Linked DNA regions of Anolis sagrei. The protein of the gene in region 3 purifies or fractionates together with the protein of the main gene of each other region. This does not show direct contact. Links are inferred from orthologs where the notes say so. Each region holds a gene or a part of one and is shown on either strand. Other genes may lie near its edges. The genes, in order: USP48, G3BP1 and SIRT6.

The links.
Region 1: the proteins of SIRT6 (region 3) and USP48 purify together in Homo sapiens (affinity purification with mass spectrometry; 3 studies listed by BioGRID, with this or other methods). This does not show direct contact. The link is inferred for Anolis sagrei from reciprocal best matches to the Homo sapiens genes SIRT6 and USP48.
Region 2: the proteins of SIRT6 (region 3) and G3BP1 purify together in Homo sapiens (affinity purification with mass spectrometry; 3 studies listed by BioGRID and IntAct, with this or other methods). This does not show direct contact. The link is inferred for Anolis sagrei from reciprocal best matches to the Homo sapiens genes SIRT6 and G3BP1.

What each region holds. Positions count from the first base shown.
Region 1 is NC_090033.1:9,935,930-9,942,945, reverse strand, and holds the start of USP48 (ubiquitin carboxyl-terminal hydrolase 48), read right to left. Parts: upstream 3,027-7,016; 5' UTR 2,941-3,026; coding exon 2,807-2,940; intron 1-2,806. Other genes in the region: HSPG2 (basement membrane-specific heparan sulfate proteoglycan core protein), read right to left, coding at 6,157-6,329.
Region 2 is NC_090022.1:84,248,915-84,255,920, reverse strand, and holds the start of G3BP1 (ras GTPase-activating protein-binding protein 1), read left to right. Parts: upstream 1-3,992; 5' UTR 3,993-4,135; intron 4,136-7,006. UniProt on the Homo sapiens protein: Protein involved in various processes, such as stress granule formation and innate immunity. Plays an essential role in stress granule formation.
Region 3 is NC_090034.1:29,081,322-29,088,613, forward strand, and holds the start of SIRT6 (NAD-dependent protein deacylase sirtuin-6), read right to left. Parts: upstream 3,090-7,292; 5' UTR 2,842-3,089; coding exon 2,776-2,841; intron 76-2,775; coding exon 1-75. UniProt on the Homo sapiens protein: NAD-dependent protein deacetylase, deacylase and mono-ADP-ribosyltransferase that plays an essential role in DNA damage repair, telomere maintenance, metabolic homeostasis, inflammation, tumorigenesis and aging.

The DNA.
Region 1 (7,016 bases), on a different chromosome or scaffold from region 3:
CACATACACACACACATACGTATAAAACATTAACAACCACAATAATATAATACTAATAGCAACAATAAAAATATAATGATGAAGATAAGGCTAAAAACAGGACATCCAAGGAGGGAGAGAAAACTATAATATATATATATATACACACACACACACTCAAGTATAAAACACTAACAACCATAATAGTATATAATTATATATAATAATAATAATATAATAATATAGTACTAACAACAACAATAACAATGTAATAATGATGATAAAGGACAGCCAAGGAGGGAGAGAAATATATATACATACAATATATTATATTATTAGCATAGTACAATATCAGTATTTTATATCACTATATTGTACTATACCATTATACTATATTATTAATAATACCACATGTAATATTAAATATATAATTATACTATTGTATTATTATTATAATATTAATTATATATATTAACAATATTAATAATAATAACTGGAGCCCCCGGTGGCGCAGTGGGTTAAAGCACTGAGCTGCTAAGCTTGTTGATCGAAAGGTCGCAGGTTCGATTCCGGGGAGCGGCGTGAGCTTCCGCTGTCAGCCCTAGCTTCTGCCAACCTAGCAGTTCGAAAACATGCAAATGTGAGTAGATCAATAGGTACCGCTCCGGCGGGAAGGTAACGGCGCTCCATGCAGTCATGCCGGCCACATGACCTTGGAGGTGTCTACGGACAACGCTGGCTCTTCGGCTTAGAAATGGAGATGAGCACCACACCCCAGAGTCAGACATGACTGGACTTAATGTCAGGGGACTACCTTTTACCTTTACCTTATTATTATTATCATGTTGCATTACATTATCTATATAAATAAAAATGTAATGTTCGTTTGTGGGATTAACGTAACTCAAAAACCACTGGACGAATTGACACCAATTCGGGTGTCCATCACCCATTAACACACAAGCACATGTGCGGAACAGACATAAAACCCAAAAAAATACACCATAAAAACATATACACATACTCATATACATATGCACATGCACACATATACACACGTATGTATATATATATATATGCACAAACACACATATACACACATACATACATATATACATATAAACATCCACACACATATACATATCCACATACATACATATATACACACAAATATGCCTACAGACAAGCACGCACATACACACAATATGCATGTACACATATTATTTTATTTATTTATTTGTCATGCCAGGGCAACCAGTCATTTATATTACATTTCTAACAGAACACAGCAAACAGACAAAATACAACATTTGTGAGTTTGGTAGTTGATTCAATGTCCTTTGAGCAGTATCTGGCCCCTTGGAGTGCCTCTGGTGTTGCCGCAAGAAGGTCCTCCCTTGTGCATGTGGCCTTGTGCATTGCAGCAGGTGGTCAGTGGTTTGCTCTTCTCCACACTCGCATGTCGTGGATTCCACCCTGTAGCCCCATTTCTTAAGATTGGCTCTGCATCTCATGGTGCCAGAACGCAGTCTGTTTAGCGCCTTCCAAGTCACCCAGTCTTCTGTGTGCCCAGGGGGGAGGGAGGAGTCTCTCATCTGGTATCAGCCATTGGTTGAGGTTCTGGGTTTGAGCCTGCCACTTTTGGACTCTCGCTTGCTAAGGTGTTCCAGCGAGTGTCTTTGTAGATCTTAGAAAACTATTTCTAGATTTAAGTCGTTGACGTGCTGGCTGATACCCAAACAGGGGATGAGCTGGAGATGTCTCTGCCTTGGTTCTTTCACTATTGGCTGCTACTTCCCGGCGGATGTCAGGTGGTGCAATACCGGCTAAGCAGTGTAATTTCTCCAGTGGTGTAGGGTGCAGACACCCCGTGATGATGCGGCATGTCTCATTAAGAGCCACATCCACTGTTTTAGCATGATGAGATGTGTTCCACAGTGGGCATGCATACTCAGCAGCAGACACATCCACTGTTTTATACATATAAACTCATAAATATATACACACACACATATATACACACTAACATACATATATATACACACACAAACACAAATATATACAAATATATATACACATATACACAATATGCATGTACAGATCTGTCATTATGGTCCATATGTACATTATGAATGTACACATATAAACACACAAATACACACACACACACATATATATAAACACACCCACATATATACCCACATATATACACACACAAATACACATATACACACAAATATATACACACTTACACACATACACATACAAATACATATATACACACACAAATACACATATACACACAAATATATACACACTTACACACATACACATACATATATACACACACAAATACACATATACACACAAATATATACACACTTACACACATATACACCCACATATATACACACACAAATACACATATACACACAAATATATACACACTTACACACCCACATATATATACACACACAAACATTGTATTATATTATTGTGATACACAAATATATCTACACATATATTGTCGAAGGCAATATACACATATACACACATACAAACACAATATATATATATATATATATAATATATATAAATCATTAACAACCATCCTCATAATATATAGTAATAATGATGCACTTATTAATAGCAACAATCACAATGTACTGATGGTGATGGTGGTGATGAGGGCACAAAGGGACATCCTCAGGGCGATGGAGGAGTGGCCAAGCGAGGCCTGGAGGGCAGGCGTGGGCCCGGCCTTGAGGCCTACGGGGCAGGCAGGCAGGCAGGCCGGCCTCTTTCCCTCGCGGACTGAGGGACTCACCGGCAGGCGGCGCGGAGGCAGGCCGGGAGGGCGACGCGGTAGGCGGCCTCGACGTGCTCCTGGGTCACGGCCTCCGGGGGCACCTCCTCGGCCCAGCGCCAGGCCGCCTTCTCCAGCTGCAGCCGCGGAGCCATCCCCTCACCCCTCGACGCCGGAAGCCCCGCCAGCCGGAAACGGAAGCCAGGAAGAAAAGCGGCCCTCCTCGCCCGCCGTACACGGAGTGACGTCGACCCGCGAAGCGGATTGGCTCTTTCCGCGCAGAAAATGGCTTGCGCCTGACGTCACTGCTCGAAGCCGATTGGTTCCTTCGACGAGGCTTCACGCGCGCTACATAAACCACGCCCCGCGTTTACGCCTGAAGCGGATTGGTCCATTCGGTGCACTCTCTCTCCAGGCCACGCCCCTGTCGCCACGACTTGAAGCGGATTGGTCCACTCGGCGCACTCTCTCTATAAGCCACGCCCCTTTTCGCGACGACTTGAAGCGGATTGGTCCACTCGGCGCACTCTCTATAAGCCACGCCCTTTTTCGTCATAACTTGAAGCGGATTGGTTTATTCTGCGCACTCTTTCTATAAGCCACGCCCTTTTTCGTCACGACTTGAAGCGGATTGGTCCATTCGGCGCACTCTCTGTATAAGCCACGCCCATTTTCGTCACGACTTGAAGCGGATTGGTCCATTCGGCTCACTCGCTCCATAGGCCACGCCCCTTTTCGTCACGACTTGAAGCGGATTGGTCCACTCGGCGCACTCTCTCTATAAGCCACGCCCCTTTTCGTGACGACTTGAAGCGGATTGGTCCACTCGGCGCACTCTCTCTATAAGCCACGCCCTTTTCCGTCACGACTTGAAGCGGATTGGTCCATTCGGCGCACTCTCTCTATAGGCCACGCCCCTTTTCGTCACGAATTGAAGCGCAAAGGCCGTTAGAGATCTGCATAGGCCACGCCCCGAATGGGTAACGCCAGACGCGGATTGGTTCCTTCTGCGCAAAGGGCGTTTGCCCGCGCTACGTAAGCCACGCCCCTTATTGTGTACGTCGAATCTGATTGGCCCATTTGTACCCCGGAGGCGACATAGGCCAAGCTCCGACGGGTTACGTCTGACGTCACAACTCATGCGCACCGGCCCCGCCCCTTATTTCGTGCTTCTTAGGCCACGCCCCGACGTCGCGACTCGAAGCCGATTGGTTGGTGTGCTCATTTGCCCCGCCCCTCACTTCTAACTTCATATCATGACGTCACTGCCCGAAGCGGATTGGTCCGTTCGGCCCAAAGGGGGCGGAGTCCTTCTCTCTCCCGCCTGCTCTACTCCGCCCACAAAAGGTCGGAGGGGGGAATGCTAGGCGCATGCGCACTGCTTGGAGTGCCCTTTTTTTGCCACGCATGCGCAACTAGTCGCAAACTTTCCCTCGTATTAAATAATAATTAATTATACTAATAATAATAATAATAATTAGTAATAATAATACTAATATTTTTCTAAAGCGGAATATATTTAAAATGACATTATTTGTATTATGCCATATATTAATATTTAGTGTATTTCATGTCAATTTTGTTTGGCATCATATTAAATTGCACAGTAAAATAAGTATAAATAATATACTATGACATGAGAAAATATAAATAATGTGATTTGTAATATAAAATTTTGCATTTTAAATACAATTATTTACTATATTATTATATGTCTTTATATGTTATTATATATTATTTATTTGCAATATTATGATATATTATTTACTATATTATTATACCTTATTTATTTGCTAAATTATTGTGTATTATTTATTTACTATATTATAAATTATTTATTTACTATATTATTATACATTATTTATTTGCTAAATTATATATTTATTTACTATATTTTATAATATATTATTTATTTGCTAAATTATTACACATTATATATTATTTGTTTACTATATTATATATTATAATATATATTATATATTATTTATTTGCTATATATATATATGCTTTTTGTTCCTCTCAGACTCAATTTATTGAGTCTTTGGACTCAATTGTCTTTTAAGTCGGGACAGGGATGTTCACATATAAACACACAAATATACACACACACATATACACAATATAACCGTGTATATATATAGGGTTTCATCTAGCTGACTATCGTGCCATCACTGCCGAAGCAGGGAGCTTTGACAGGCTGTAGCACGGTTGTGTTGTGAAAGGACTCTGCTATATTTTTGCTTGTTTCTGGGACTTGCTATCCAGCTAGCAGTAGTTTGGGGAAGTTGTGATTTGGAACCTATAAATCACTACTAGACAGGAATGTCTTGACTGTAAACTCATTGTGTAAAACTGGGTGGAAAATACCGTTCTAATGGACATGTGGTCACACAACTGAAGGGAGTTTTAGCTGTGAAAGGGCACTTGCGATCCAGAGCGCAGCGGTTCAGGGATAGATCATTTCCCGCGAGAGGTTATCCAGGAAGCGCTGTCTGGATTTAGGAAGAAGCAAAGGACTCGGAGAAGGAGGCTCGGACACGTCCCCAGCTCTTGGGGTTCAGCACCATTTATTTAAGAAAAGAGAATACGAATAAAAGGGGGGCCGGGGACGAGGGATAAGGGCAGTGCGGCAGCGGCGGAGGCGGCTTCTGACTCTCGAAAGGAAGCCGGAGAAGCCGACGGAGGCTCGTGGTCCGAGTCCAAACGAGCCAGAGACTGGCATGACGGTTCGTTGGAGAAGGCTTTCTTCGGGCATCTTTGGAACCGCCGTCCTGCTCTTTGGCTGAAGCGGGAGGAGAGGAAGGTCAAGGCGAGCCCTCACTCAGTGCAGACCAGACCAAAGGGGATCGGCGAAGGGGAAGAGTCCGCGGATGGCCTTGTCCGGCGCAGCGCGAGCCGTAAGAGTGCGGCCAAAGAAGCCCTGTGCGCCTATCTTCTTCCTCGTAAGGCACTGGCGGAGGAGTTGGGGAAGCGTCAAGGCAGTGGTTAGCCCTCCGGGGCGCCGGAACAAGCTTGCGGCTTTGCTTGGGAAGCCTCTCCGGAGTCCAGGAAACTAATGGCAGAGCGAAGGGAGGTTCGGCTACTAACCCAGGACGCTCCCGATTCCTCCCTCTGGATGGAGGGAGCGCATCAAAGCCCTCTTCGGACGCTCATCTCCTCGTGTTGGCCGTAGACACAAAACACACACCCCCCCGCCTCCCCCCGTATTTTTTTTGGTAGCAGCAAAGCACCTTTTTGTGTGATTCTCTCTGTTAAAAAAATCATCATCATAAAATAATAATAATAGAAGTCCTCTCAGTTGGAAAAATAATAATAACAATAATAATAATCATAAAAGGCATCCCGGAGAGTGGCGGTGGTGGTGCCCCCCATTACGAGGGGCACTCCTGGACGTTGACGCCGGCCTCCGCCTGGTGATGGAGGTCGACCGGCGCCTGCAGCTGATGGCCGGGCCTCTCGTTGCGCAGCAACACATTCTTGACGCACCCCGAGATCCCCGAGGTGTATTTGCCAGCCGTCAGTGCTTGCGGGTCGGGGGCACCGCCTGCAGAAAGGGGAAAAGGGGCATCATCGCTGTAGGAAATGGCCTCCTCTAGTAATTTGTTTGTATATGATTCTGTTTGCTTACTGTATTGTATATGTATGTTTTGACATGCAGCTTTCCCTATATGTGTCTTGAGGTTGAGGGATGATCGGATCTGGGACTAATCTGAGCTCAGACTCCATTTTAGACCAGACTCCATGAGCCACTATTAGACCCTTTGATGAGTTTTAAGTGTGCTGTCTCTAGATAGTTCAAATGCAATGTCTTTGCCTTGAATACTAATGTGTGAAATGTCACATTTCTATGTCAGAGTTTGTATATGGTACTCAGAGTTTAGTAATCTATATCTATCTCTATCTATCTATGTATATAATAAAAGTCAAAGTTTGTATGCGGAGGACAAAAGTGTGGCGGTGTGGCAGTGTATGTGCCAACATTCTGATTGGCCAGCCTGAAAGTTCCAAGATTCTGATTGGCTGCCACTGTGGTGCTATTTGCATATGGTCTCGGATTGGCCAGCTTTACAGGAGCCCCTGGTGGAGAAAAGGGTTCATGACAGAAACGGAGACATGAGAGAAGGAGATTTGCATATGGTCTCTGATTGGCCAGCCTCAATTCCAAGATTCCGAGATGACAAAGAGAGGAAAGGAAAAGGCCAGAGGGGGCCGAGTCAGAACATTACCAATA
Region 2 (7,006 bases), on a different chromosome or scaffold from region 3:
GACAGTCTTCCAAAATCAGTGTATTGGTGGGTCCATAGGTGACTGTGGAGCCCTATTCTTGATCTGCATCTTCTCCCGCAGTGAGGGCATAAGTTTCCAGGTGGAATGAGGTCCCGGTCAGGGTTGGCTTGATGTGCCTTCCTCATGGCATGTTTCTCTCTTTTGCCCTCCATTCATGCCTCTTCAAATTCTACAGCACTGCTGGTCACAGCTGACCTCTAGCTGGAGTGCTCAAGGGCCAGGGCTTCCCAGTTCTCAGTGACTATGCCAGAGTTTTTAAGGTTGGCTTTGAATCTCTTTAAATCTCTTTTTCTGTCCACCAACATTCTGTTTTCCGTTCTTGAGTTCGGAGTAGAGCAATTGCTTTGGGAAATGGTGGTCTGGCATCCAAACAATGTGGCCGGTCCAGCGGAGTTGATGGTGGAGGACCATCGCTTCAATGCTGGTGGTCTTTGCTTCTTCCAGCACGCACTCATTTGCTATCTGACCATTGTTACCATATTACGAACTGGAAGAGCAGGGCTGTAGCAAAAATTAATGGGGAGGGGTGGCTCTTACAGGCCCGGGTGGCTGTAGTGTTCCTCCACTAGAGTACTCTTCCAACTGGCCCTCATTTTCATAGCTTATTATTAAGTTATTATTCCTGTTATTTGCCATTTTGGTCACGTGCTGATATTGCTTGGTCTATGACGGGTCCACAAACTTTTTAAACAGAGGGCCAGGTCACAATCCCTCAAACTGTTGGAGGGCCGGATTATAATTTGAAAAAAACATGAATGAATTCCTATGCACATTACACATATCTTATCTGGAGTGCAAAAAACACTTTAAAACAATACAATAATTAAAATGTGGACAAGATACTTGGAGGAATGAGACCCACCACGTCCATCCTAGACCCCTGCCCATCCTGGCTTCTTAAGGAGGCCAGAGGGGGATTGGCCGAGTGGGTAACGGTGGTGGTTAATGCCTCCCTTCGGGAGGGCAAGATTCCAGCGAGCCTAAAACAGGCTGTTATAAAGCCGCTGTTGAAGAAACCATCACTTGACCCCACTAAATTGGACAACTTTCGGCCTGTTTCCAATCTCCCCTTTTTGGGCAAAGTCATGGAAAGCGTGGTGGCCTCACAACTCCAGGTATTCTTGGGAGACACGGATTATCTGGATCCGGCACAGTCTGGTTTCAGACCGGGACATGGTACCGAGACGGTCTTGGTCGCCTTAGTGGATGATCTGCGCCGGGAGCTAGACAGGGGGAGTGTGTCCCTGTTGGTGCTCCTGGACCTCTCAGCGGCCTTCGATACCGTCGACCACGGTATTCTTCTGGGGCGCCTTGCAGGGATGGGTCTTGGGGGCACTGCTCTGCAGTGGCTCCGGTCATTCCTGGAGGGTCGTACTCAGAAGGTGTTATTGGGGGACTCCTGTTCAACGCCGCAGCCGTTGACCTGTGGCGTTCCTCAGGGATCCATCTTGTCCCCCTTGCTGTTTAACATCTACATGAAGCCGCTGGGTGAGATCATCCGGAGTTTCGGGGTGCGGTGTCACCTGTACGCAGATGACGTCCAACTCTGTCACTCCTTCCCACCTGCTACTAAGGAGGCCGTCGAAGTCCTGAACCGGTGCCTGGCCGCTGTAATGGTCTGGATGAGGGCGAACAAACTGAAATTAAATCCAGACAAGACAGAGGTACTCCTGGTCAGTCGCAAGGCCGAACAGGGTATAGGGTTACAGCCTGTGCTGGACGGGGTCGCACTCCCCTTGAAGGCGCAGGTTCGCAGCTTGGGTGTGACCCTGGACTCATCGCTGAGCCTGGAGCCCCAGGTTTCAGCGGTGACCAGGGGAGCATTTGCACAGCTTAGGCTCGTGCGCCAGCTGCGCCCGTATCTTGGGAAGTCTGACTTGGCCACGGTGGTACACGCTTTGGTCACATCCCGCCTCGACTACTGCAACGCTCTCTACGTGGGGCTGCCCTTGAAGACGGCCCGGAAGCTTCAGCTAGTCCAGCGCGCGGCAGCCATGTTGTTAACGGGAGCTGGACGCAGAGAGCATACAACGCCTCTGCTGTCCCAACTCCACTGGCTGCCGATCTGCTACCGGGCCCAATTTAAGGTGCTGGTGTTATCCTACAAAGCCCTAAACGGTTCCGGCCCAAAATACCTTGCAGACCGCATCTCGGCCTACGAGCCCACGAGGGCCTTGAGATCATCCGGGGAGGCCCTTCTCTCGGTCCCGCCCGCCTCACAGGCACGTCTGGCGGGGACGAGGGAGCGGGCCTTCTTGGTGGTGGCCCCCCGACTGTGGAACACTCTCCCTGCTGAAGTTAGACAGGCGCCCTCCTTGATGGCCTTCCGTAGGGGCCTAAAAACATGGCTCTTCGAGCAGGCCTTCAATTGAGTGTAGTTAAATTGACACTGGAATGAATTAGGACTACGAATTTCGGCTATGACCCCAGGACTTGACGAAGCGGATTTTTAGTATAAGTATATGTTATGTTGTATTTGTCTGGTTTGTATCGTCTTGACTCACTGTACACTGTCTTCTTTGTTGTTGTTCACCGCCCCGAGTCGCCCCCGGGCTGAGAGGGGCGGTCAATAAATGCAAGAAATAAATAAATAAATAAATAAATAAAATGAAGAACAGTTTTAATAAATATAAGCTTATTAGTATTTCAATGGGAAGTGTGGGCCTGCTTTTGGCTGATGAAATAGGGTTGTTGTTGTTGTTGTTGTGTGCTTTCAAGTCATTTCAGACTTAGGTTGACCCTGAGTGAGGGCCGGGTAAATGACCACAAAGGGCCGCATCCAGCCCCCGGGCCTTAGTTTGAGGACCCCTGGTCTATGACATGTTGGTGGGCATGTGCATATGTTACCTAAATACCCTAAGGCACTGGATCCCATTAGATCTTGGTAGCTAAGCAGGGTCATCTTTGGTGATGGGAGGCGACCAGTGCCTTGAATGCACATACATGAACATATGTGCATGCTGCCACAAGAAAACCCCTCAAGGTCCAGTGTATACAAGGTTCACTCAAATCCAGGGGACTCCTTGGCTCGTTTGTTCTCAAATACAGTGCACTCTCAGTTAACCAGAACGCAGGCAAACGGTGGTACTCACGAGTAAACAGCAAAAGAGAAATCGAAGGAATAATTCTTTGAATAAAAATTAAAATAAAATCAGATTAGCAGAAACGTGTAAACTTGGCATGCCTGTTGCAATTCGACGCTTGTTAGTAAAGTTCATTAAGTTGAGAAGTTTTTTGACTGCCATTTAACTAAAATTGCGTGCTGGAGTCACAAAGCTGTTTGCACAATAGGTGTTAAAACTGTCTTAGTTTGCTTTAAATTTCTGTATTTGATGCAATACCAAATCAATACAGAGTGTATGGTATGGCACAGCATGGGACATAGTATTAATGTGGATTATAATGAGTTCCAGGCACTCATTCGGTGATTGAAGAGACTACCCAGAGCAAGGCGAGGACGCGCACGCAGCCTCTCCCGCTGCTCGGAAGCGGCAGAATATTTTCAACGCCTTTCCCTTTAAGAAACGCCACTCCGTCTCCTGTCAATCACGGGATAACACCTTTGGCAATTGGGCCCGGCGACCGGCGCTCGTCTTCAGCCCGCCTCTCCTCGCACGGGGTTTCCAGTCCTCGATTCCTAGGGTTCCCACTGTGCAGCGCACCTATCCTTGGCGGGCAGCGTGGCCACGCCCCCGCGGGTTCTCACTCCTAATAACGCGGGGAGCGTCGTCTCATTGGTGTTTGCCAGATCCGTCGACTCCTGACTCTGCCTTAATAGGTCTGCGCTCCACACCTATTGGCTAGAACACCTGTCTGTCAGAGAAACCGGCTTCACGTTATCCGCAGCCAGATTCGTCGATCCAGTTGCCTTTCCGAACGCGGCCTGCCCCTTCTTCCTCCAGCTGGCCTATCAGCTTCCGAGCTGGGGAGAGGGCCGGCTTCTGACTGGTTGCGAGCGTGCCACAGGGTTAGGTTACGCGCGAGGTATATTTAGCCGGCGGTAGAGCACGCTGTTGCGTGAGGTGCTTCCCGTCTCCTTCGGCTCGCCCGCTTGTCTGCCTCGCACGGAGTGAAACCTCCTCCTTCTCGCCGCCCATCTCCGCCTCGCCCGCAGGTTGGTGCGAGAGGGGGAAAGCCGTTGGGTCACGTCCTTCACGAGCCGGCGAGCGGCGCGCCTTTGTCGTCACCGTCGCCATAGACACGCGGGCTCCGCGCGGCCTTTCCTGACTGGGGGGCGCCGGGCGAAACCATTACACATTGGGGGAGAGGGGGGTTGACGAGCACATTGAGTGGGCCTTTGGCTCTGGCGTTGAGGAGGCGATGCTCCCCCTTCCCCCCTCGGCAGCGAGGGAAGAGGTTCTGCCCGGGATAAGGGGTGGCAGAGCGGCCAAAAAAGGAGCGGGCCGCGTTGCGTATCTGAAGCCGCGCCGTTACTAAGCGAGCTGAGGTCTATTAACAGGAATTCGTGAGGCCCAAGAGGAGAGTTCCATTCAGGATTCTGGAAAGGGGGTGGCGGGAGTGACTGAGGATCCCAATCTGGCCCAGATCGAGTGCTTCCCCCCCCTCCTCGAGGACCTCTGAATAGCGGAGGGCCCGAATCGTGACTGAAAACCTGGAAGGGCCTGGCTTGTGGGCTCCTCTCGCGCCTTTGGGGGAAACCGCCCCGCCAAAGGCTTCCTAAAAAGGGGCGGAAATCGGGGGAGGTGTAACAGACGCCTCGCCTCCCCCTTCCAACCATTCACCTTAACAGAAACCGCTGCAATCCGGAGGACAATAGTGGCGAGGGAAGGAAACCTTGGCAAAGGAGGCAGGGCCGCAAAGCGGGTTCATTGCCGCCTCGTTGTGTGAGAGCGGCAAGCTTTTGTCCCTTCCCTTGGGCGGTCCAGCGTTGGCTTCTTTTCTTTCGTTGGCCTCGGATTGTACCCAATGTCGGGGTTTCCTTGGCTTTGTTCTAGCAGTATAGCCAGCAGAAAATCAAACCCTTTTGCTTCAGAGATGGATTGTTAGTATTTTAAAATACAGAATAGATCCCCGCAAAACTAGACCAAAGCGTGTCTGTACCAGTGAGGACATTTGTCAAGGTCAGGCTTAGCAGTAATAAGAGGTCGATGCACATATTTTCTATCTTTTCCTTAACTAAGTTGGACACTTGAGTACCCTTGGAAAGATTGTTCAGTGTGTGTGTTAGTTTGAGCATGAAAATCTGTAGTGAAATTGGTGTTCATCACACGCAGATATATATACTTACACCGTGTCAGGTGGCAGCATCATAATCTACTGCAGGGTATTTGTAGCAAGGGGCAGTGCTTCCAGTCTGTGCTATTTTTATCCTCTTTTTTTCACAGGCATGGCACAAGGTTAGGAACTGCAGGCAGACCTACTGAAGTTTGCAGATAGGTGTTCCCTATTCTGTGAACTGCTACTTTAGGGTCATGTGAAAGGCTGTGGTCAATCATCGATGGAAGAGTCATGCTATTTAGTTAAAGAGCTTTATATATGTGTGTATTTCTTTAAAATGGAGGATATCTTATGTTTAAATTATATTGAAGTTCTTTGAGAAGTGTAGTGTTAAAGATTGACATGATAGTGCATTGTTTGTCTCTTCTAAGCACTTTACAGGCTTGTATTGTGTTTTAATATTGAGCCCTTAACAGTGATTGAATTGTCTTTTGCTTGCATATAAGCAAAGTGGATGGGGTTATAATAAACATCATCTGGACCAGTTATATTATTTTTGCTGTCCATACTTTCTAGCATTTCTCAGAGTAAGAAATGCCTATAGTTGGAACTCTGTTTTTATAAAGGGAATACTACAATCTTGTTTCTCATTAATTTATTGAAAATAAAAATAAAGTATGTGATCAGAAGGAATTAAGAAAATAAAGATGGTTAATTGTGTATTTTCCCTTATGATGTAGTTTCACTTATGATGTAGATTCAGGAGCACCTCATGAGTTACATAGGACTATTTTCACTTGGAATTCTCACCTCCTCCCTTCCCAGAAACTGAAAAAGCACATGGATAATATAAAAAAGTTAAGGAACAAAGAGCACTTTCTACAAAGCTGCATGTGGTCAAGCAGTCCTCTAGAAATACTCATTTTTTGTCATTATTGTTTGGACAAAGTCATATTTAAGTGAGCTCTACAGCACTATACTTTTCCAGTATTGGGATTCCTATAGCTTAGACTCCCACTCCCCCAGTAGCTCATATTAATAGAATATGACAATTGTAGTATAACAATACCTTTGGAATGGTTAATTCAAACTTAAGTGAATCTTGAATTTTTAAGAACGGTGGAATGTAGTGATTAAAAGTCATATTAGGCATTTATTAATTGGCTTGGAATTATTTTTCCTCTTGGTACAGAAGATGTATGCTTTCAAATTTTTGATGCTGCAGAGTTGCTCAGTATAATGTATTTTTCAGTTGCAACTTTTGAGGCTTCCTTTCCCTCAGTGAGTTCTTATGTAATTAGTGGAAATATAATGTAATAGCAATCCCATAAAGGTCAGAGCTCAGGGGTCAGTCTGTGGCAGAGGAGCCACAACTTTCCAGCCCCTGCCAGATGTATGTCAGTGCAGAATGAGCTGTGTGTGTGTGTGTGTGTGTGTGTGTATATATATAGAGCAATTTTCACTCTCTTCTTGCCTTTTTCCTCCATTAGTTTCAACAGGAAGTAAAATGACAGCTTATTTCCAGCCAATACAGCATTTATGTATCCATTTTGATCATGTGCCCCAGAAATGAAGATACTGGATGCAGAGCTTTCCTGGATTAGTCCTGCAGTACTCCTCCCTCACTATTAATTTATATTCTACCTTACTCCCAATAATAAAACTGAAAGTGGCTAACATATTTAAAACGATAAAGATTAAAAACCATATAGAGACTGTAAAGAAAAGTATTACTCGGTTATTTAAAAACAGTCAAACAATTTTTATTTAAAGCATTGGAATTCAAAAAATGCATAAAATGCAACAC
Region 3 (7,292 bases):
GACATTGGAAGCCTCCCGGATAAGGTCTGCCAAGCGAGAGATCTTCTCCTCCAGTTCATCTGGAGTGTCAAAGGACTGGACAGTAAATGAGAAGAAAGGGAAAATGCAATTAATGCTATACAAGAGAGCCAAACGTTGTGGTTTGAGGAGTCAATATAGCCTAAGGAAAGGAGGGAATGCATCCTCCGAAGCAGTGAGTGACCATCTTAAGCTGGAAACAACTTGAAAGCAAATAATAACAAAGTCTCTCACTTCCCAGCTTTTTCCCAGAGCCTGATTTTAGATGGAACCCAAGAACAGCATGATGAAGAAGTGTGGTCCAATGACTCCTGTTCATTAGAAGTTGTAGTCCCAAAAAGTAATGCTTGAAATCTATATCTTTACGCAAAGATTATACACACAATAAAAGTGAAAATATGTATGTGTGTATGTGGCTGGGGTGTCCACTTTCACAGACAGGCTCCTACTTCCACAAACAGCTATAGCTCCCACTACTCAGGAGACACCAATGGCCCTCCCTCCAATGACACTGCAGGTTAGTGAGCACCATGAACATGTTCAAGAGCCCTGCCACCAACACCGTACTGCCCTCCACCCAAGTGAAGGCTTTCATTCAGGGACAATTCCATCCTACATTGTATGTGTTTCCTCCACCACAGATATCCCAGTGTTTCTGACTCTCTCCACTGGTGTGGAATTTGCATGACCCCCCCCCCCCAAATGCCTCTCCCTTACCCTTTTTCTATGGCACACAGCAAACAGAGGAACTGATTGGCAACTGTACATACTATTGAGGTTTGGGGAGAAGTCAGTGTTTGTATGTGGGTATGTATGTGGTGGTGTAGCCCCACAAATGACGGATCTGGACCAAATTTGGCATACAGACACCCCCCCCCCCTCCGGTCCTGGTGCAGTTTGAGGGAGGATGGACCACAGATGATGAGATTTGGAGTACCTTCATCCAATTCAGCTTCAACTTCAACAGACCACTGTGACCCCCAAGAATGACAGACCTGGCCAAACTAGGCACACAGACTCCCCATGACCAACAGAACATACTGGAGAAGTTCAGGGACCTTGATTTTGGGAATTGTAGTTTATCTGCATCCAGAGGAACAGTGACCCCTGCCGACAATGGACAGAGACCCAACTTGGCACAGTGAAGGCCCATGACCAACTGAACATACTGCAAGGGTTTGTGGATTTGACTTGGAAATCTGGGAGTTGTACTTCACCTGCATTCAGGTAACTGTGTTAGGAGATTATTGCCCTGGGAATCTGGGAGTTGTAGTTCTCCCTTATCCAGAGAGCACCAAACCCAGTCAATGATGGATCTGGACCAAACTTAAGTGATATTACCTAATATCCCAAAACAAGCAATGCCTTCTTTTAATAACTCCGGCATCACCAGGTCCCCAGGCTAGCATGTAATAAAAGTGAATAATTTATATTTTACATTGTATACATATAATAATCAAATAAAATTATATATTATAAATATAACCAAAGTGTATATTATATATCATATATAATATAAAAGTGCAAATAATTATATAATATATTACATAGATATGTGTATATTCTATTATATACTATTATGTTATATTATATATAAACTAAAACTGAATATAGTACATATTATATTACCATATTATATATTTATGTTATGAATGCATATTCTTATAGTTACATAGTAACATAAAATATATTATTTATACAACATATGTATATAATATATATGTACACTGTTTCATATATGTTATATGCTAAATATAGAACCTATATTATAAATTTAATATATTATATAGAAACTGTACTTATATATGTATATACTATAATATTGTTTATATTACATATAGTATTAATAATATATATTATGAATTTAATATTATAATATATATTCTGAACATACAGTCCGTATTTATATTATATATATTATAAATTTAATATTATTATATTCTAAACATACATACTGTATTTACAATATATATAATAAATTTAATATTATATATTTTAAATACTCTGTACTATCCTAGCCGTCCCCTGCCACGAGTTGCTATGGCCCACTCTGGTGGTCATGGGGGTTCTGTGTGGGAGGTTTGGCCCAATTCTATCGTTGGTGGGGTTCAGAATGCTCTGTGATTGTAGGTGAACTATAAATCCCAGCAACTACAACTCACAAATGTCATGATTCTATTTTCCCCAAACTCCACCAGTGTTCACATTTGGTCATATTGAGTATTCGTATAGAGTTTGGTCCAGATCCATCATTGTTTGAGTCCACAGTGATCTCTGGATGTAGGTGAACTACAACTCCAAAACCAAAGGACACTGCCCACCAAATCCTTCCAGTATTTTCTGTTGGTCATGGGAGAAGTATGTGCCAAGTTTGGTTCAATTCCATCATTAGTGGGGTTCAGAATGCTCTTTGATTGTAGGTGAACTATAAATCCCAGCAACTACAATTCCCAAATGACAAAAGCAATTTTTTTGAGTGAAGGACATACATTGGGTTGTTAGGTGTCTTGTGTCCAAATTTGGTGTCAATTCGTCCAGTGGTTTTTGAGTTCTGTTAATCCCGCAAACGAACATTCCATTTTTATTTATATAGATTATTGTTTAAGCTATATATGCACATTTATAATATTTACAATATATGTATATAATAAGTTGAATATTCCAATATGGACTACTAGACCTCCCAGGCAGCGAGCCAGATGTCTTTCCAATGGAGTGTTTCCATGGCAACCCCACGGGGGGGCTACTTTCACTCACCTCCGGTAGGCCGCACAGGCCTTTGTCCGCGTACGGCGACAGGCCCGCCGCGTAATCAACCGACATCTTTCCCTCCTCTTCCCACTCTTTCTCTTTTTTCTTCTCAGTCAAGCTTCCCCAAGCCTTTCCTGTTCATTTCCGGTCGGAGAAGCCGGAAATATTCCCTTCGAACAGCCGCAACCTCTTCACAGAAAGAAATCCCCCGCCATCTTGGATTTGGTCAAGGAAAGCGACGACTAGAGGAAGAGGAACAAACTCGAAGCTACAGGAGTAACCTGAACGAAAGGCAACTTCCCCTGCCATCTTGGATTTGGTCAGGGAAATCGACAACTGCGCAGGCGCAAGAGGCAAAAACCCGAAGCTTCACTAGCCATCTTAACTAGGGGCAAGCTTCTCCTTTTTTTTCCTCCCTCCAGTCTCGCTCGAAGGAGGAAAGCGGGCGGGAAGGAGCGAGTCGGAGTCGCAGAAACACTTTGGCCTGGTTTTGTGCCGCAAAGATTTGAAATAATCAGCGTGAGAGAGGAGAAGGTGCCCTCAAGAAAGACGGCGGAAGAAAAAAGAAGGCAAGCCTAGGTGACAAAAGAAGGCGGGGCCTGAGGGAAGAGGAAGGGAGGGGGAGGCGTGACGCACAAAGGCTGCGACGCCTGGAGCTGGAGGAGGCAGGTAAGGCAAAGCAGCCTCTCTCAGGCCTCTTTAGTAACATTGCAATGTAAAAATACTAATATCTTATATATAATATTAAAAATGTTTTTATATATATAATACAATACTACTAATAATATCTTATAATCATATATTTATACTACATGTAATATTACTAATAATAGTACAATATAATGTTACAGTACAACATAGTAATATTTAATAATGATATTGTACTATACTAATAATATAATATATTGTGTGTGTGTGTGTATATATATATATATATATATATATCTCTTGTAAGCCTCTGAATTCCTTTGGGGTGAGAAGGGTGGCATATAATTGTCGTAAATAAATAAATGAACTGATGATAGAGTGCAATATATAATATAATACTAAAAGTATAATATACTGATAGTGTATTAGATATATTGTGGTATAATAATATAGTACAATGTAATATACATACATATATATATATATATATATATATATTATTTATCGTGTCATCCGCAACCAGAACATTGTATTACAATTCTAACAGAACAAAACAAACAAACAGATTAAAAAACACACAAATTTTGCAAACTTGGTAGCTGATTAAATGTCCTTTGACCAGTATCTGGCCACTTGGAGTGCCTCTGGTGTTGCCGCAAGAAGGTCCTCCATTGTGCATGTGGCAGGGCTCAGGTTGCATTGCAGCAGGTGATCAGTGGTTTGCTCTTTTCCACACTCGCATGTCGTGGATTCAACTTTGTAGCCCCATTTTTTAAGATTGACTCTGCATCTCGTGGTGCCAGAGCGCAGTCTGTTCAGCGCCTTCCAAGTCGCCCAGTCTTCTGAGTGCCCAGGGGGGAGTCTCTCATCTGGTATCACCCACGGATTGAGGTGCTGGGTTTGAGCCTACCACTTTTGAACTCTCGTTTGCTGAGGTGTTCCAGCGAGTGTCTCTGTAGATCTAAGAAAACTATTTCTTGATTTAAGTCATTGACGTGCTGGCTGATACCCAAACAAGGGATGAGCTGGAGATGTCTCTGCCTTGGTCCTTTCACTATTGGCTGCAACTTCCCGGCGGATGTCAGGTGGTGCAATACCGGCTAAGCAGTGTAATTTCTCCAGTGGTGTAGGGCGCAGACACCCTGTGATAATGCGGCATGTCTCATTAAGAGCCACATCCACTGTTTTAGTGTGGTGAGATGTGTTCCACACTGGGCATGCGTACTCAGCAGCAGAGTAGCATAGCGCAAGGGCAGATGTCTTCACTGTATCTGGTTGTGATCCCCAGGTTGTGCCAGTCAGCTTTCATATGATATTGTTTCTAGCACCCACTTTTTGTTTGATGTTCAGGCAGTGCTTCTTGTAGGTCAGAGAACGGTCCAGAGTGACTCCCAGGTATTTGGGTGCGCTGCAATGCTCCAGTGGGATTTCTTCCCAGGTAATCCCCAGAGCTCGGGATGCTTGTCTGTTCTTAAGGTGAAAGGCACATGTCTGTGTTTTAGATGGATTGGGAATCAGCTGGTTTTCCCTGTAATAGGCAGTTAGAGCACCTAGAGCTTCGGAGAGCTTCTGTTCAACCATCTCAAAGCTCCCTGCTTGGGCGGTGATGGCACGATCATCAGCAGAGATGAAACTCTCTGTCCCTTCTGGCAGTGGCTGGTCATTTGTGTAGATTTTGAACATGGATGGAGCGAGCATGCTCCCCTGAGGCAAGCCGTTCTTCTGTTTCCGCCATCTGCTTCTCTGGCCCTGGAACTCAACAAAAAAGCTCCTGTTTTGTAGCAGGTTTCCTATGAGACGGGTGAGGTGGTAGTCCTTTGTGATATTATACATTTTTCTCAGGAGAAGGTGGTGGTTCACAGTATAATAAGCCGCTGACAGGTCTATGAAGACAGCTCCTGTGATCTGCTGCTTTTCAAAGCCATCTTCTATGTGCTGAGTCAGGTTCAGCACTTGCGATGTGCAGCTTTTGCCTTTCCTGAAGCCAGCTTGCTGTGGAATCAGACATGGGTCTATTTTTTCCATAATTCTATGCAGAATAAGTCTCTCCGGAACTTTGTAGAGGTGGCACAGCAGGGAGATTGGTCTATATATAATATTTATTTATTTAAAATATTTATATCCCGCCCTTCTCCTCACAAGGGGAACTCAGTGCGGCCTCACATGAGCATCAGAGGATGCTAACAGCATAAATACCATAAAATTACAATTCACAATAAAATCATTTTAAAACGTTGTACATCACCAGTAAGATTTAACAATAAATTAATAGATTAACGTGTCAGTAAAAACCAAGCCAAGCCAGGGGAATCCATGTCACAAAATCCAAATTTCCTTTTCCTATTGCCGCTGGCCTCTAATCGAACGCCTGGCCCCAGAGCCAGGTCTTCAGTTGTCTTCTAAAGGACAGGAGGGAGGTGGCCAACCTGATGTCCTTAGGGAGAGAGTTCCACAGACGGGGGCCCACTGCTAAGAAGGCCCTGTCTCTCGTCCCCACCAACCGCGTTTGCGAGAGTGGTGGGATTGAGAGCAGGGCCTCTTCTGATGATCTTAAGCTTCATGATGGTTCATAGCAGGAGATACGTTCGGACAGGTAATTGTATATTATATGTAACATGTAATGTTACTAATAATATTTTTATTTTATTTATTTATATCCCGCTTTATCTCTCCATACGGAGAATCAAAGCTGCTCACAATCAAAACATTACAACTTCAAATCTACAAATATACAAAAATAAAACAGTATTGTATATTATGAGTAGTAATTATATTTAACATATTAGTATTGCTACGTTGCAGTATTATTATATATTATACTAGCTGTCCCCTGCCACGCGTTGCTGTGGCCCAGTCTGTTGATCTGGAAAAAAAAGTAATGAGAAAGTGTTGGTTTCTAATATATGTAATTTCTTTATGCTTGTGGGTAAACAGTATTTCTTATTGTTTCTTTGTCAGTGTTGATGTGGAGAGTGTCTGGTTTGCCCACCCTGGAACATGCAACATATCATTGTCCTTCTTTAAGGGTCCCCTTCAAATCTATGATACTATATCTGTGTGTGTGCGAATCATATCTATCTTTCTATCTATCTATATCTATGGCTGTATGGCCCTTTGTCAGGAGGACTTTGATTGTGTTTTCTTGCCCTGAGGAAGGGAGTTGGATTGGATGGCCTTGAGTATTTTCTGTTGGTCATGAGGGTTCTGTGTAGGAAGTTTGCCCCGATTCTGTCATTTGTGGGGTTCAGAATGCTCCTTGATTGTAGGTAAACTGTGAATCCCAGTGACTACAACTCCCAAATGTCAAGGTCTATTTCCCCCAAACTCCATCTGTGTTCATATTTGGGCGTATTGAGTGCTTGTGCCAAGTTTGGTCCAGATCCATCATTGTTTGAGTCCACAGTGCTCTCTGGATGTAGGTGAACTATTATTTATTATTTATTTATTTACCTTACTTATATACCGCTGTTCTCAGCCCGAAGGCGACTCACAGCGGTTCACAACAAATACGAACAGCAAAAATTCAGTGCTACAGTATAGAAACAGTTAACAACCTAACACATTACACAATTAATAAACAGTTACTACAATACCCATTCACTGTCGTCTCGTCATCAAAAACATGTTCCAGATTCGTCGTCCATTGTTCCATTCCAGTGTTCATTAACCAATCATTGCACTAATTATTGGAACGCCTGCTCAAACAGCCAGGTCTTCACTTTTTTGCGGAATACCATTAGAGATGGTGCTAGTCTAATGTCCGTAGGAAGGGCGTTCCACAGCCGAGGAGCCACCACCGAGAAGGCCCTATCTCTCGTCCCCGCCAGCCGAGCTTGAGAAGCAGGCGGGATCGAGAGCAGGGTCTCCCCGGAAGA